3 linked regions of the Daphnia pulex genome follow. The protein of the gene in region 2 interacts with the protein of the main gene of each other region in a pairwise test. Links are inferred from orthologs where the notes say so. Each region holds a gene or a part of one and is shown on either strand. Other genes may lie near its edges.

Evidence for each region.
Region 1: the proteins of amyloid-beta-like protein (region 2) and JNK-interacting protein 1-like interact in binary tests that used the Drosophila melanogaster proteins (3 or more experiments, as listed by UniProt). The link is inferred for Daphnia pulex from reciprocal best matches to the Drosophila melanogaster genes Appl and Aplip1.
Region 3: the proteins of amyloid-beta-like protein (region 2) and fasciclin-2-like interact in binary tests that used the Drosophila melanogaster proteins (3 or more experiments, as listed by UniProt). The link is inferred for Daphnia pulex from reciprocal best matches to the Drosophila melanogaster genes Appl and Fas2.

The regions. Positions count from the first base shown.
Region 1 is NC_060024.1:10,402,193-10,407,808, forward strand, and holds JNK-interacting protein 1-like, read right to left. Parts: upstream 3,671-5,616; 5' UTR 3,436-3,670; coding exon 3,353-3,435; intron 3,246-3,352; coding exon 2,971-3,245; intron 2,901-2,970; coding exon 2,772-2,900; intron 2,700-2,771; coding exon 2,604-2,699; intron 2,541-2,603; coding exon 2,098-2,540; intron 2,019-2,097; coding exon 1,840-2,018; intron 1,770-1,839; coding exon 1,697-1,769; 3' UTR 1,592-1,696; downstream 1-1,591. Other genes in the region: uncharacterized protein LOC124200172, read left to right, coding at 28-381, 448-621, 697-926, 1,013-1,286; tryptophan 5-hydroxylase 1-like, read left to right, coding at 5,537-5,616. UniProt on the Drosophila melanogaster protein: The JNK-interacting protein (JIP) group of scaffold proteins selectively mediates JNK signaling by aggregating specific components of the MAPK cascade to form a functional JNK signaling module.
Region 2 is NC_060020.1:2,957,561-2,963,492, reverse strand, and holds the start of amyloid-beta-like protein, read left to right. Parts: upstream 1-2,256; 5' UTR 2,257-2,400; coding exon 2,401-2,478; intron 2,479-5,020; coding exon 5,021-5,209; intron 5,210-5,932. UniProt on the Drosophila melanogaster protein: During development, plays a role in the regulation of the neddylation pathway. Appl and APP-BP1 interact antagonistically during development.
Region 3 is NC_060017.1:6,490,874-6,496,054, forward strand, and holds the end of fasciclin-2-like, read left to right. Parts: exon of another isoform or gene 1-1,629; intron 1,630-1,828; coding exon 1,829-1,999; intron 2,000-2,723; coding exon 2,724-2,829; intron 2,830-3,118; coding exon 3,119-3,253; intron 3,254-3,511; exon of another isoform or gene 3,512-3,606; coding exon of another isoform or gene 3,607-3,637; exon of another isoform or gene 3,638-3,811; intron 3,812-3,938; coding exon 3,939-4,041; 3' UTR 4,042-4,778; downstream 4,779-5,181.

The sequences.
Region 1 (5,616 bases), on a different chromosome or scaffold from region 2:
ATGCAAGGATCATTTTGACATTTCTAGCGCAAGTCTTCGGTGATGAACACCACTTTTGAAAAAGAAGATGACGATGAACAACGCGTGTTGACACCACCACCTCAACCAGATTTCGAAAACGAATCAGAAGAAGCCGCAGGCCATTCGCCGCGCAATTCATCAATTTTAAACGTCACATTTGAAAAGGAAGACGATCAAGAGAACCAAGATTTGCCCGCAGCTTCGCCGATTTTGAAGGAAAACTCTGCGATCGATGAGGAGACGGACAACTTCCACACTCCGACGGAAATAAACAAGAGAGATTCAGTCTTGGATCTCACCGATTTGCAGGAAGGCCGCGTCGACTCGCTAATGGAGACCATTTCGGCCCTATTCAACGAGGTATGTTCCAACAATTCCTGACCCGAGAGAGCTGTCTAATATAATGCGAATGATTTCATATTGCAGCCCGTCTATCCTGAAGCCCAAATCGAGAGCTGGCTCAATCAATCAGAAGCAGCTTTCCCAGCAGTCAAGAGCACGGCTCTCTACTGGGACATTAAAGCCCGTTTGGAAGAGCGGCGTGGCAACACTATGGAAGCCCTTGACATCTACAGCCAAGCCCTTGAAAACAAAACCGAGGTACAGTATAAACAGTTGGGCCTCATTTTAAGCGATGGCGCGGTGTATAAAATTTACCCCCGTTTGTTTCTCCAGTCTTTAGATACGATGAAGCAGTTCTTTGACGGCTTTTTGTTGCGCATCGGATCAAATATGCCCACGGGCCAGAGAACACCGCTGCTTAAAAGTTTGGGAGTGGAGACTCCTTTGATCCGCCAAAGCCGGCGTTTGACTCCCCGCCGCCCTTTGTTGGACTCGGCTCAAGCTTTTAATTCTACGACCATCAAGTACGAACTGAAGCTCAAACAAGTCTTCGATACCATCGAGTAAGTTGTGTCTCCATTTATGCAGTTCCGTATTTTAAAAAAAAAAAAAAAAAACTCCTTCTGATTGACTGTCTTTGAACGTTTAGTCAAAAACAACAAGAGAACAATACTCCTAGCCTCAAGAAGAAAGCGACGAAGACCCCGATGAAATTCAATACGGCTTCCAACAGAGTATCAGTAGCCAGCGAGTGCCCATATCAATTGGTCGCCACTCCAGTCAGGCGCTCAATGAGACCCAAAAAGGGGATGGTCACTTTAAACGAACAAGTTTTGTACGTCGGCCAACTGGATGAACTTTCGCCTGCCACCAGAAGCAAGGCCGTTGTGCGTAAAAACAACGCCTTAACCACTGATCTCTGAATCTAATTAATTGTGGAACCCAAAATTCAAAGCATAATCTTCCAGTTCTGTCCCATTTCCCATTGTGTTTCTTTTTCTTTCTTTTTTTTTCCATTGCATTTTCGTTTTGTTTTAAGAAAAAATTTGCATTCTCTTTCGAAGTAGATGTCCCTGAATTTGATTTCAGTATTATTCGCCCGTGGAAATGGTTTCAATAAATTTCGGTTATACCAGTTTTCTACCATTCGTCGTGACTGTATTGGTATTTAATTAATTCACGTTGAATGAGCAGCTTGTGAAATGAAGCACTCTAGAAAAGACGAGAAGAAATATGCGACTCCGTTTATCACAAGGAGAGATGTGAGAGTTTAGAGGAAGTATGGGGGAATGTAAATATAATAACGATTATCAAAAGTGCTGAGATGAATAAATTACTCCATGTAGAACTCGTGAATCGGGTAGGCCAACTCGATGAATTTACGACAGAACCGTTGAAACGCTCTCCTACAGCCAAATGATATCATTTTTACATTTTGAATAATAGAAAATTAATAATCGTTTCTATGTTTAATACCCGATAGCTTCTGCTACGTGACGAGTTGAGCCGTTACCCTGAAAGACATGACAGGCGAACCGCTCTTCAGTCGGATGTTTGGTGATGAAGCCGAGGTAGTGCTGCTCACTCGGATGAAACCCGCAGAACGTGACATTTTTCAAAGCGAAAAAGTAATCGTGACACGGGAATCGGTCCATCTGTCGTGTGTGTGTTTCCAACCGTGAATTAAAATTAATTGAAACGAAATAGAGAGAGAGAGCTAGACAATACTCTTACGTCATTTTCTTTGCACTTGTCCATGACGTGAAGTCCCTGGTCGGAGATTTCTAGAAAACAAGGCTGCGGGTGGGTGACGGGAGATTTGCGCATACGTTCAACGGCCGAACAGATCACCTGCTCCCCTTTGTTGACCATCGTTTCGACTGATCCCAAAAAATCCAGGGCGTAGCGCTCCTTGTTGACCCGCCGTCCGTCGGGATCGAAATCGTAATCGACGTCGACGACGTAAGCCGCTGGGAAGATTCCTCGACGCTGAGTTCGCAGGTTGATCCCGTCACACCAACAATCGTCGGCCTCCTGCTGGACGTAAACAGGATCTCCGATGTCGATGTCTATCTCGTCAGAGTGTCGGCCGGTGAATTTGTGCAGACCGCGGTGTGTAGCCTCGACGTCGGTCAGCACCGGGAGTGATTCGGCGCTCGGCGTCGAAGACGCAGTATCTGTTATTTTTAAAATTCAATTCGTTATCAATTTCAATAATTAATTATAGGGGGGAAAATAACCTTTTGAGCCTTCTGGCGAATGAGCCGTCGAGTCTCGTCCGGAATCGCCATCCGTCCCTGGCCAAACGTCAGATTCACAAGGACTGTGTTCTCCTGCTGTTTATTTTTAATAAAAGGAACTTTGGATGATTGTTTTGTTATTTGGACAATTGGAAATAATTATAGTACCTCGATAGTGAAGGTGAGGCTTGAAAAATTGGCGATGACGGTGTTCGGATACTAATGAAATGCACGACGACCCGATATCCAATTGCGATAGCTCATCGGCGAGTGATGGAGTCCGTTTGAAATCCAATTCTGTGTATAATTGATTAGATATTGATCCTTTTCTTTTTTTATTTCGATAAAACATGTTTTGATAGTATACTTTGATGAATTTTTGGGATTTCTGGTAGTTTTCTTCTTTTCCTTTCGAGTGGCTTGTGATTGATTTCCTTGACAGGATCGTTGGCAGCCCCATCTTCTGGATGAGGAGCTACTGGTACATTTTCTGTCGTCCCAACGGAAGTTTGGACAATTCCGGTGCTTCCCTCTTCAACGATCGTCGATTCCCGTTTGGCAAACGGAAACTCGGTGGCACACGATGAGAGTAAGCCCTCGAAATTCGGCAAATCGTCACAGGGCGTGATGTCGTGAACCAAACTGCATAAATATGCAAAACAAAACGATATGATAATATACTAAAACCCCACCCCGCTAGTCTAACATAATCAATGAAACAGCCAAGTCAAATGATGACAACGACTTACGTGTAGCACTTGGCTGACGCTCGTATGTGCTGAGGTAATCGATCGAAATGCAGACGAAACTCTTCAAACTCGGAATCGGCCATGATTTTCGGTTACAACCAAAAACAGCAGCTGAAGAACTGAATTCGGCAAATAATAATAATGAGCGGCCTGGATGCAGCCTGCAGCTGGGGGTGTGTATATTAACAACTACTACTCGTTACTACAGAATTCGGCTATTTACTGAGCAAAGTCTCGACCGAATAAGTTTCCGATGCGTATACATATACGGCCGACTTTGGGGTGCTGGATCGTGCCGGATCCTCTATACGTGCCAACGGGAGTATGTAGAAAGAGGTGTGGCTGCTGCCGAGTTAGTCCCCCGGATTGCGCATGCTCACGGGGTGGTTGGTGTTCCAGCAGGATGCCATAGCGTGAGCCAGAAAAGAAATGTGTCCCGAGACCATGGAGATATTGATTTTTTCCCAAATTTCTTTTTCAAGTCAATTTATGTTCCTCCTCCTGTGTGTTTTTGATAAAAACTCAACACGCACGACGCGGGTCGATTAATCTAAGGAATGGGCATCTAAGCAAAACACTCCGTCACTAACGTCGTCGCCGATTAGTATCTACGTTTTAATTCAATCAGCGTGTGGGCGTATAGGCCACTGCGCAGCGCCAAAGTGAGAAATACTTAAACGTTGGCACGACTTAACATCGTTTCCAGATGATAATCTTCGTCGGCTATATCACGCAATACACGAATATAATCTGAGCTTTTTTTTTGCGTGCGTGTAGGTGGAATGGCCAGAGTCCTATGTAATAACGGATGGGATTTCTTTTAACTGTCACCAAACCACACATCGTAGATCACGCGGCCAATTTTTCTTTTTTTCCTTCCAGCGGATACGTTCTGTCCGCCCATATCGTCGATATATCGGCGACCTTAATCAGATGATGGAATGCGCTGCTGCGCGGAGGAATTGTAAAAATATAAAATAAAGAAAACGCGGAATAGATAATACTGTACGTCAGCAGCACTGGGCTTTGGGACCCAGAAAGTTTTCAATCACTTCTCAGCGATTGGGAATATGTATAAAACGATCGGAATTGAAATAGATTCAACAAACGGCACCCAAATAAGTGTAATATTCTTTGATTTCTTTTAACCTTTTGTTATCTGGCGTTTGTTTATACAAGAGCGCCAATGCATTCGACCGGAAGGTTCATCCAGCACTCTGGCCGTTGGGGAGAATGAATAGATGTTGATACATTATAAACGATTCTGAGCGTCGGGACGCTGATTATGGAATCGTTTTTATTTTTTCTTTCTTCCCATCCACTTTCTCTCTCCCCCACCAGTAGGTCGACGCTGTGTCTATATAGGGCCTGGAGATAGATAAATCCATTCGATGCCCAGCAGCAGCAGCAGCCATCAAGGCGAAAAGCGCCAGATCGTCAAGAGCCACTCTAGAGAATTGCAATATCCATCTGATTACTGAACCAACTGACTGTTGAATAGTAATCAATTCGAGAGAAGCTTCTGGCAATTCTTTTTTCGGTATAACTACGTCGACAAATGTGCATATAAGATGACGCCGCTTGTTCAACCAACCTGGACTGCTATAGTAGTCAGTGATGTTCAAAAGACGACTATTGTTCACCTTTTTGAAAAAGAAATCTAAACTTTTTATTCAAGCTCGCAGATGACGTATAGTATCTCGTCATAACAATAGCGCGTAATGATCATTATTACTATACACAGCAGGTCTTTACGGTTTTTTGAAACCGTCACACAATTGGTTTCGTCAGACAATCGACAGGCATATCTCCGTGCAGACTAAAATATCGTTGAAAGGCTGATACACAAGCCAAAAGGATTGTTGAAGAAATGGATCCTGCTGGATGGGGAAGACGCTCTCTCTATACGATTCGATATCCAGATGAAGCCAATCGGCGCTATGAGAATTGGATGCGTGCGCGTGGGCGAATCAAGAACCATCCGGCCGGTTGGTGGGTCAACACGGTGCACGGACGGGGGGTGCGTCGGACTCGGGGGGGGGGGGGTATATAAACCTGCTGGCCTACTGCTCCGTCTTCAACCTTCCTGCATTCATTTCTATACATCATCCGCCGTGTGTCGTATTTTTATATACTATAGTCAGGTTTTCTCTCTGCTGCGATTCTACCAATAAGTATTTTAAAATGAGCGCATCCGGCAAAGGACTCCTCGGTCTTTGGCTGTACAGGATGGGCGAAGAAGAGTGGAAAATGAAGGATTCTTA
Region 2 (5,932 bases):
CCGCCCACATCAATGTGTACTGTACACACATAGAGCAGCTATAGTCCCGCCACCCGCTCACTGAATGCTACAGTTTACTTTCTAGACTCTCGTCAAAAGAGACTTTTCCATTCTGCCAAACGGGCCACATTGTGTTGGATGTATATAAAGTGTTGGCCCAGCATTCCCCCCCACCCACAGGCAATTGCCATCATCCGCATATGGCGATTAGCAATGAAGGGCAAATTTTCGTACGAGTAGCTGGCTCCCGATTTCCTCGAATCAATTACGCGTTGGCGCGGAGGGGGTTAGTGTCTGTGACTTTATCCACCCAAATAGAATGGACTGTCCATTTAGAGTTGGACTGGGAGACACAAGTGAAATGGAGAGAGTAATAATGGACGGGCCAGCAGCAACTGGCCAATATGGTGCGCGCGTAAATCTAGCGTGCGGAATCGAATCAATGCGAATATAATAATCAAAAAAATATCTCTCTCTCTCTCTCCAGCCATAGTCGACTGTCTATAGATAGCCGAGTGCTGGGCCAAAATATATTTGAGTTGCCGCTGTCACCAACAGCAGCCCAGTCTCAGCGGAGTATAGCGGCGGTGGCGAGTGTTATTGACTTGTGCTAGAGCGTCATCACGCATCCAGCGCCGAAGGAAGCGAAAACGAGCGTTGCCACGGCGACGTGCATAATCACTGGCGTTTTCCAGTCGAAAAAGGGGGGGGGGGCAACACAAAAGGAGGCCAGAATCGTCCCCACCATATAGAAGAGGCCAGCACACAGCAGAGCCGGACGCGGTCGCTATATGCTTTTCAGCATGCACACAGCAGCAGCGGGACCGAGTGCTACTGGAGTCGAGAGGAGACGAGCGGAAGAGATATCTACGTGTGCAGTCGTCGCTTTTTGTGGACGTGTGAAGCTCTACACAGTCCACACGCAGTAGTCACATAGAGAAAGCCAATCGGCAAAAGCTATGGCGTCTAGTACATATAGCCTATAGTAGTCTAGAGGACGGTCTTCTATCTAAGTCGTTTAGGTTTTGGCCATAGAGAGACGCCGGCCGCGGCCTCTGGCTGCGATGCACTTGAATTATTGATGGCGGGCGAGCTATCGAGATAGATACTCGACACACAAGAGAGAGAGAGAGGGAATGAAAATAAAAGGTGGGAGCAAAAGAAAAGAGACGACGACCGCCATGAGTGCTGTGTGTGTGTGGGGGGGACCCGGACGGGAAAATCGATAGCAGGGCCGCCACCGCCCAGCCGCATCACCACACACACACACAACCATCGCCTCACCGATTCGATATGATGATGGCTGCTGCTGCTGCAACCACCTTTTTGCTTTATTCGCTCTAGCTGATGGATGTCTATCCACTGTGCATAGATATATATATATATATGTATACAGCAATATACACTTTACTATATTGGAGACGGGCGCGGTGTGTGTGTGTGTGTAGTTCGTGACTTGTGCTGACTGTCACAAGTCCCTTCGTGCGGATCGATGACGACGCCAACTGCCGGCTCCTTTTCGATTCTTTTCTTCTTTTCCTTGTTATTATTTTCCTTTTTCATTTTCATTTTAGTTGAGAGATGCATTTGTATTGTGGGCTATATAGTATGTATACGTATGGGCGCTGCCTACCTTAACGATACGACGATGCACTTCTTCGTCTATGTGTGTACCCAAAAATCTCGTTATATGCTTTTGTTTTCTTTTCAAAAGGAGAGCAACATTCAAACATTCGCTATTGACACATCTTTCTCTCTCTCTCCCTCCCGACCTCCTGGTAAATTGCCTCATTTTCTTTGCTCCGTTTCAGAGGAAGTAACAGGAAGAAACAGGAGGCGGAGCCGGACACGGAACTCGGAAGGAAAACTCATTTGGAGCTCGTAAATTGCTCCTCCCGTCTTTCTGCATATTATTAAATCGCAGCTTTTCATCTCGACTGCTTCAATCAAAAGGCAGGGGAAACAAAATATGGGAAGGAGAAGAAAAAGAAGAAGAAAAAAGGCCAATAAAATTTGTAAAAATCATACAGCGGAGCGGAGTGTTGTATAACTCAACGGCAGTTTTAATTCTCTATTTTTTTTTTTGTTTTCAATTTTCAATTTACCTTATTAGTTTTCCAAATGCCAGCAACTTCCTTTATAATATATGTGTTTAAACGGAATAAAAAAAGAAGAAGAAAGTTGGGAGTTTCGTGTTCAAATGTGGCGCGCAGGCGCAGTGAAATAGGTCGCATCGGTGCTGCCCCTCAGCGGCGGCTGTCGCAAACTAATCTGGCAGCCTGGCATCGTCCACACTCTGTCAGTTCAGAAAGAGGCAGCTGAGCAGCGAGAAAGTTCATTTCGTTGTTAGTGTGGGTGTGTTCCTCTGTTCCCTCTCAACACACAGAAGAAGCAACAAAAATGTGGAACTTAAAAGTGTTTTTCATCGCCATCGTCCTATCCGCCATCAGTGTAACCGACATTTTTGCCTACGTCGAGGTATAGATTCCTTTTCAAACTACAAATGGATTCCCATGATCTTTTCCCATTTCTTCCTTCTCTCTCCACCCTCCTCGACATAAAACAAATAGAAAACAATCGATTGTGTGTGTGTGTGCCCTCTGTGTGTGTGTGAGCCCTGTGTCTGTGTGTGTGTGTGACTCGGTCCATCCGCCATTCGCCTTGACGCGGCCCTTTTTTTTCTAGTATCGAAATCCCATAAAGCTTTTCCCCCCTGCGTATATATACGTTTATGCGCCTGGCAACTTGGCTGATCGACCTTCGTGTCCCCCTTTTCATAACTCTTTACATGCTTTAACTTTACACACCTTTATCGTCTTTCACTTTGTCTGGCATTTTCCCTTTGTTGAGAGCTAGGTTCCCCCACGATGGCTGATGTTTCAGACTTTTGCAGGCTGCAGCTCGTTCTTGGTCTTTGTAGCTGGAGCTTTTCGAGGGATTGGTTACACCTCATTGTCTCAGTCAACATCAGCAGGTCCCGTTGTTTCAGGAATCCAGAGGGGAGTGGAGGTGCATGACTCTGCATGGATCAGTTTGATTAAAAAACCCACCACACACACATACACACACCATGTGTGTCTGAAAGGCAGTCACATTTCATCCTCCCCTCTGGGTTTTTTCGTGTTTTTTTCCTTCTCATGTCATGGATCAGGCTCGAGCTTTTGATTAGGTACCTTAGATGACAGAACATCTCATATTTCTTCACCTTGTCCATGCCCTGTCGCTGCCTTCTGTGTATCCCTGCTATTTATTCTATAATCTGAAAGGGAGACGTCCTTCGCACGTCCAGTCGTTGGTAAAATCGTCAGAAGCAAGAAAACAAATAGTTCGCTCCTTTTCTTTGCATTTCAGCTATAGGCCGGGGGATTTGCCCGTCTCGTTTTTTAGTTTGCTATCCACGAATAAAATGGAAAAAAAGAGAGAATGACTTGGGGGGACATTCGACGAGTTTAGATGGAAAGGGGACGAGGTCTGTGTGTGTGTGTGTTGCGAGACAAAAAGGAATCGATCGACCTCATCATCAGTTCGCCAAGGCAAAGAACATTCGACGAGCCGTTCAGGTCGGTCGTTCAATTTCGTCGGTGACAAAAGAGTTGGAACAAGTCAAGCATCAGCGAAAAAAAGGGGGGGATTTGTACTTTAAGAAGAGAATTATATTCCCCGAGTTATTTCCTTTTTTGAAGAGACACACACACACAAGAAAAGAGCAGCTGAAAAGGAAGAAATGGGGGAAGATTGGTCTCTCCCCTTTAGTATTCACCAGCTGCCATTATTCTTAATTGAACAGCTGTGGTGGAGGAGAAGGTTAGAGACTTCCGCAAAAGGCCAAGCCCTTCTTCTTCCGTTTCTTCCTATTCGTAGAAAATAGTTCCATTTTTATTTTCACAAAAGATCAAAAAGCCAAAAGTCCTTAAAAACAACTTGAACGGGGAGAAGAAGAACTGACTTGAGTTTGGTTTTGTGTTGGTAGTCTCGTTACCGTGCTTAATCAGGCCCGCCTGCCTTTCTAGTCCAATCTAATATTAATCAACCCTTCCAGCACACACACACACACACAAACACAAAAATGTGTATAGGCCCCGATCGATTGATGGCGCACATATTCGCTCGAGTCGTGTGGGGATGAGAGTTCAGTCCCGGAGTCGGCCCCTTTTTAGTCATTTCCGCCAGTGACGGTCACACACACACACATTCGGTTTTTTTTCTCTTTTACATGACACGCACATATACCTATGTGTGGTGAAGAAGAAAAAAAGTCAAAATAATCAGGGGGGGGGGAAAATAGGAAACACACACAAAGGGGAAAAGTAGGTGTCGCGTTTCCGTAGGGCCATTCAAATGCTTTGGGGGGACTGAAAAAGCCGAGGGGCCTTTTTTTTCCGTGGAACTCGACACTATTTCCTCTTTTTGTTTTTTATTTTCTGCTGAACTGAAACACACTTCATGTACCTACCATTCTCTCGCCGTGGTGATTGGTTCGAATATTTCATTTCTTGTAGTATTTGAATGAAAGAAATGAGGTCGGCCATGTTGGCAATGCTCTTGTGGTGCTACTGTACCACTACCGCCTTTTTATTTACCTTGGGGTTACGAGAGTAACACACATAAATCAAGAGTTGGGCCCAGAACAGACGATGTGTATACACACGAAATACGAAGATGAAGAAAAACGAGTAGCTAAAGACTGACAAGAGGAAATTTCTAAAGTAAGCTAGTTGCTTTCAGACCGGCCTATGTGTGCGTGTGTGTGTGGGCATACAAACAAAACTGATTGAGCTCTTTGTAAAAAAGGGGGAAAAAAGTTTTCAGAGATGTAGCAGGAGATGGATCCAATCAATAATATCTCTCCCCTCCTTTTGCTTTCCTATTTCCCACTAAGTCTTGTTATGTACTACTACATCTGTGCGAGAGGGGCCGACGTGCAATTGACTTTCCTCTTATCTTTTGCTCCGCTGTTATTGATGTTGTTGATGTAATTTGTTTTTTTCTTTGCTTTTCTTAATAACACACATATATCTAGGCTGTCGCTGGATCATTCGGATCGGATGTGGCCCCCATCAAGGTGGAGCCCCAAGTGGCTGTCGTCTGCGACCTCCGCAACCCGCTTCATCCGCAGTACATGGACTCGACCGGAAAGTGGGTCTCGGATTTGGAGAATAAAAGCTATTGTCTGAAGGACAAGATTGAAATCCTCGATTTCTGCCGCAAGGTAAAATAGAAGGAACATGTGGACAATCGAAACTAATCAAATGATTTGCTTTCAGCCATGTCGTCGTACTACTCTCCTCGTTTGTATCGATTGTCGCTCGTGTGGTCGATTTGTTGTTGACTTACTTTTTTCTCTTTCTCCCCATCTCTCGTCGTCTCCTCTTTACCTTCCCGATGAAAAATAAAATAGAAAAGTTCCTCCCAAGAGGCAATTGGAGTGGGGCCAATCGATTGGCCAAATGGAAGAAGAGACGAGACGACGTCAATGGAAGATGGGAGAAAATTGGAAGGGAATCGATTGATCCGTTTTAGCTCCTTGTAGGGACGAACTTGGTTCGGGTCTGGTCTGGATCGATTTCGGACAAACCGTCCCACTCTTCGTCTATTCCAATATTTTTTTTTCTCTTCTCTTCTCGTTTCCTTTAGAAACGAAATATAAATCCCATTTTCAATTTAGTGATTCCTGTCCCCTTTTTGACCAAGCCCTGGACCCTACGGGATCTACACCCCAAGTTGGATGTCAACTCCAACCGTCTCCGCTCTGCTGCGCTCCACTTGTCCATCCCGATCTTTTTTTTTTCGTCCGTCTTTCTGGCTCTGTTTCGCCTGCAGTCCAGTAACCACTCGCTTAGCTCTCGTCGTCGTTACGTGCATATGCTGAGTCGCAAGTTCCCTGGTCGTCTGCTCTTCAGGTTATGATGCAATGTTCCATGCAGAAGAAACG
Region 3 (5,181 bases), on a different chromosome or scaffold from region 2:
GTGTGTCATTGATGATCAAACCGGGGGGAGTAGTTTTTCTTATTACATAAACCCCCTCCTCCCCATCGAAAAACAAAGCAACAAAAAAAAAAGCCAATGTTTGTACACAGTAAGAATTAGAAATGAAGAAGGGAAAAAAAAGGCATTGTGTTTTTAACCAAATCTTAACGCTTGGCGGCTAAAATATCTTTTTTTTAAATAGAAGGGATTTTTGTTTTTTTGTGTTCGTTTCCGATACTTCAGTATGCATACCGTACGTGTCATCTCTATCTGAAACAACAGAAAAATGTGCATGTTATGGCCTCTTTTGATTTGATCTAATATGGCTTCTTTGATCCTCTTTGATCTTTAACCCTCTTTTCTCCTTTTGTTTTCCTTTGCTCCCTCCTTTTTTCTACCCCCTGTTTATTTCTTTTTTTTTATTTCAAGAACCTTCTTGATCCCAAAAATACTTTGCGTCGAACCTTTTGGATTGTTTTCCATATATGCTACACACAGACACACATACTTATCGGATCAAAAAAAAAAAAAAAGAAATATGGACGATTCTTTTTTATTTTTCTTACAAACAATTGGTTCACTTCCCAAGAAATTTTCAGATGCCTATTTAGTGATCTCTCGTTTAAAAAGGCAAAAAAAGAATTAAAAGCTTTTCTTTTTTTTCTCTCCCTTCCAACAACTCCTCCTTCGTTCATCCCTTCTGCTCGGTACACATAAAATGAGAAGAAATAAGAGATTACTGTTTTGCCCAAATGTTTTTTGCTGTCATGTTCGTTTTCCTCCTCCTCCTGCCCTGCCCTCCCAACTTATATAATCTTTTATTTCCGGAACAACAATTAAATAATCCCGACACATTTTTCCCCCTATCTCTCGTGACTTTTGTCTCAAATGAAAAAAAAACAAACAAACAAAGAAAGAAAATCAACAAAACATTTTGAGAAAAAAAAACCGTTTTTGAATTTTTGTTTTTCTTTTGTACATCTTTTCCATTTTTGAGACGAAATCGAGAGATCTAAAAAGGAAATTTGGAAAAAAAAACTCCCCAACAAAACAAAACAAAAAAATTAATAAAATACAAAAAAAAGTTACTTTGAAAAAAATAAAAACGACGAAAGTTTCCAGAATACACGGTTTGTTTATTCGCCCCAGAAAAAACAAAAAAACAACAACAAAATTAAACAAGTATTATTATGTAGTTGAAGTGAACCAATAATAATGTTGAAAATCACGTTTTCTAACAAAACAAAACAAAAAAACTTACAAAAAAAAAAGTTTTTGACTTTGACCGATTATTTATAAATAATCATTTTTTCTGCGGCGTTATAGTAGTGAATATAGATATTACAGCTCTCTCTGCTCTTTCCCACAAATCCCAATCACCTCCGCCCATCCATTTCCCCGTGACTGGCTTATACGTTATTTGTCTGTTCGTCGTCGTTTGTTGTGTCGTGTTTTGTCTTCATAACCAAAAAGTCGCATTGGTTTGGGTGGGGGTAGTGTCGTCACACACATTTGCATATTATTCTCTAGAATTGTATAGATTTTCTTCCCCCTGATGATTTATAGCCATTAGAAAAATGACAAACAGATAACGTGAGAAAGTGACATAGAGACTGTTTATATGTTTCAGTGTCGTTTTGCTTATTTTAATTCAATTAACGAAATTAAAAGAGAAAAAGTTGAAAAAGAGAGAGAGAGAGGTCAAAGCCAAAATTGTGTAATGTAAAAGAACGAAAGAAAAAACATCCAGAAAATATCAAATAACCTCTCACACACGAATTTGTCTGTCGCGTTATGGGGTGTGGTGCGTTGCCTCTCTCTCCTATAGACCCTGCCGCAGTTGAAGTAGAACCGTCCACCGCTTCGCCTCGAGATCCTGCCTCGTCGTCCCCGCCAGGAGTTAAGACCGGCACTTTCGTCATCATTGGAGTCATAGTGGTCGTCCTCATATTTATCGCCTTGATCATCGACGTCTCGTGCTACTTTGTCAACAAGAGAGGTAAACATGTGTATTTCTTTTGTTTCTCTACATTCCCACTCGTTAATCATTTTCACGGTGGTGTGAACGAACTCTACGCCGACGGGAGTGTGACGTCATTTTCATGTTGGTAACTACTATACAACAGTTGTTACGACTGCTACTACCACCACTCGGCTGGTGTGTGTTGAGCTGTCGACTTATTTTCCATTGTTGCTTTCCTGGAGCGAGTTGCATGTCATTACGAGAGACCAGACATCATCAATTTTCTTTTCTCGGTTCGCTCGACTTTTTCCCCCTTTTCCTTCCCATTTTTTTTTATAGCGCACGCCATAATAAAAAGAAAAACTGCCGCCTCGTTCCGCGTTCAGGGAATTTTGTCGTCGGAGTAATAAAGAAACAACAGCAGAGTTTGTCGGGAATTTTTTTTCCCTCAGTTTTGGAATGTCCCCATCATCTACTAAATAAAAGTACTCGCTCCGCTCAGCAATTACATACTTCTCGGGAAAGTGCTCGAAAGAATTTTTGAACCAACCGCCGAAAGAGAAGGAAAACGATTAAATGAGAAAAGGGGATTAACCTATTTTACGTTGGCGTGAAGGTAGTAGCCGAGTGTTGTTTTGTTTTGACTCCAGAGACGCCATCTAACGCTCGTCGTAGCAACTGCTTGTTCACCCGAAAAAATTCCCCGTTAATCTAATTGAATCCCATTTTTAAATTCGTTTCAATTGATTTCTTCCTTCAGGTTTGACGTACATGATTTGCAGTCGATCAGGTCGGAACAAGAGCAGCGGTCGGAACGGTAGCAACAAAAATGCAGCGCTCATGGAAGGTGGCAAAGAGGAACACAAGTAAGTTAGCTTCTTCATTGATCGACTCACAAGTCAACTCTTTCCGTTTGTCGGCGTCTAGCAGATTTGTAGTTTTTGTCTTTAACTAATTATCTCTGTGAAACAGAATGAGTTTTTGTCTAAGAATTGTAAGATCTCGGGTGGTGACTGGACGTAATTTCGTTACCTTATTGTCTTTTGTAGCCGTTTCATTACCAGTTTCTTGTAGTTGTCTTATGTATGTTTTCTCTTTCTCCTTTGTCTCTTGTCTGTCTCTGCTTGGGTCTACACAAATCCATCTGCGTCTCAGTGACGAGAAAACGCCGCTGAGAGAAGTGACGGTCGAGTTCCAGGATGCCTCCCGCGACACACCCCGTGCAGACCAACGACAGCAGCAGCAGCAACAGACGGCCCAAGTCGATCAACCTAGTCCCACTTTGATCAAGTATTAATTCGTTCTTCCAATTAACTCTCTCCTCGTGAACGCTCTCTTTTGGATCGTCGGTTGTGGTGTTGGCTTTCTTTCTGGCTTGGAAATCTGTGATCTAGTTGTCTTTCCCCGTAGTTTATTTACAGCTTCTTGTTTCATTTGATTTATTGGTGAGTTGGTCCACTTATTTTACTACTATTTATTTTGCATTTATTTTATTTTTGCGCCCCTCTATTCTGCATGCTCGGTCATATCGTTTTCTATTTCCGGTAGAGCTCTGCGTTTCGCTGGCGATAAACTGCACAAAACCCCAGTAACCACTCGCTGGCCGACTAATAGTCCTAGTAACGCCGGTTTGTTGGCAACAGACGATCGGTCAACTGGAAGAGGACCGACTAGTCGGGAGCCCGTCCAGCCGTTAAACAGACGATTCGAGCCTCTCCATTCCGACATTTAAAAGCCGAAACACATTCTTCTTCTTCTTATTTTCTTCTTTCTCATCTTCCTATCGTAACCCACTCTACACACGCAAAACAACTCCCCCAAAAATGGCATGCTCTTCTTTGCCTAGCTGTGAGTCACATCATAGTTTACTTGGTGATGTGTTAACTGATTTTACGCATTCCATATTTTCTTCGCCAAGATGTTTTCTCTGAAATGTACTAATTAATAATTTTTTTAATGATTGACATTTGATTAGTGACGACCAGAAGGAGTTGATCAAGGATGATGTGACAGACATCAACAACGGTCTCAAGAAGAGCGCGTCCAAGTCCAGTGTGGCCAAAGACTCTCCAGTTTAGCGCGTGTCAAACGTCCGCCCGTAGTAGTACTTTTTTTTTGTTTGTCTCATTTTAAAATAATTCGATATACCAATCAGCTCTCTGTCTGCCACCATGAAAGAAAACAAAAACATAAAAAAAATCAAGAAAGTTAAAAGTAAAGGAGAAGAAATCATTACTCTCTTGCTATCCAATTGCTCTCTTTTCTGTCATGTCATGTTTCGGTTGATTTGCATTCCCCGACTTTTATGATATCATATGTGCAGTATATTATTTCCTTGCCATTTGAATGATGTCCCTTTGCTCCTCTTAACCTTTCCCGCTGATGGTGCATTTGATACGTGTGTGCTCTCTTGATTTTTCATCTGATTTTATGTTTTATGATCCGGACCAAGGCACCCCTATAAAACCTTTCTTTTTTTTTCAAATACGAAATAAGGCAAGACAGTAAGTCTCACAGTACAGTGATTTGCTCATCAATTCGTGTAACTCGTTGCCTTGTCCATTGGAACAAGTATTCGGTTTTTGTAGTAGTTTGGTTTTTTAAATATCTCATCATTTTTACAGAGAATTTTTTGAAGTCACATCACTCCCCCATAATTTCGTTCAATCCAGAATTTTTATGAAAAAAAAACAAAAGGAACATTTCACGCTGTGTGCCCTCTATCTTAGTTTTGTTGCTTATGAATCGTCGTACGTTTCTTGTGCATCTTTGAAAAATCAAGCGCGTATCAAAATACAAAGATAATTGAAATTAATAGAAGTGTTAACCCAAAATTATTTCTTCTCACCAAACACGACTTAGAAAAGATAGCCAATCATGATCAGATATCAGATAATCACATCTCCCAGATAATCACTTATTACCAGAGCAATGGGCATGGAGAGGTGCTCTCTGTGCTTGTTTCTTTGAATTCAAATTTTTTGAAATTTTTTTGTATTCTTAGGCGATTGAGTTTCGTATATTGGCAACGCCGCTTCTCATTTCCATGAAAGTACGTCTGCTGCTCGTTGTCGTTAGAATTCTGAATTCTCGCTGCCGCTGGTCGTAAGCTAAATAGTCGGTTAGGATTTCATTTCAGCCTGTGCTAAAATGTTTCAGCAATGAATTCTTTGATAACCGAAATATCCGTACACATTAAGTGTTATCTTTTGTTTCTC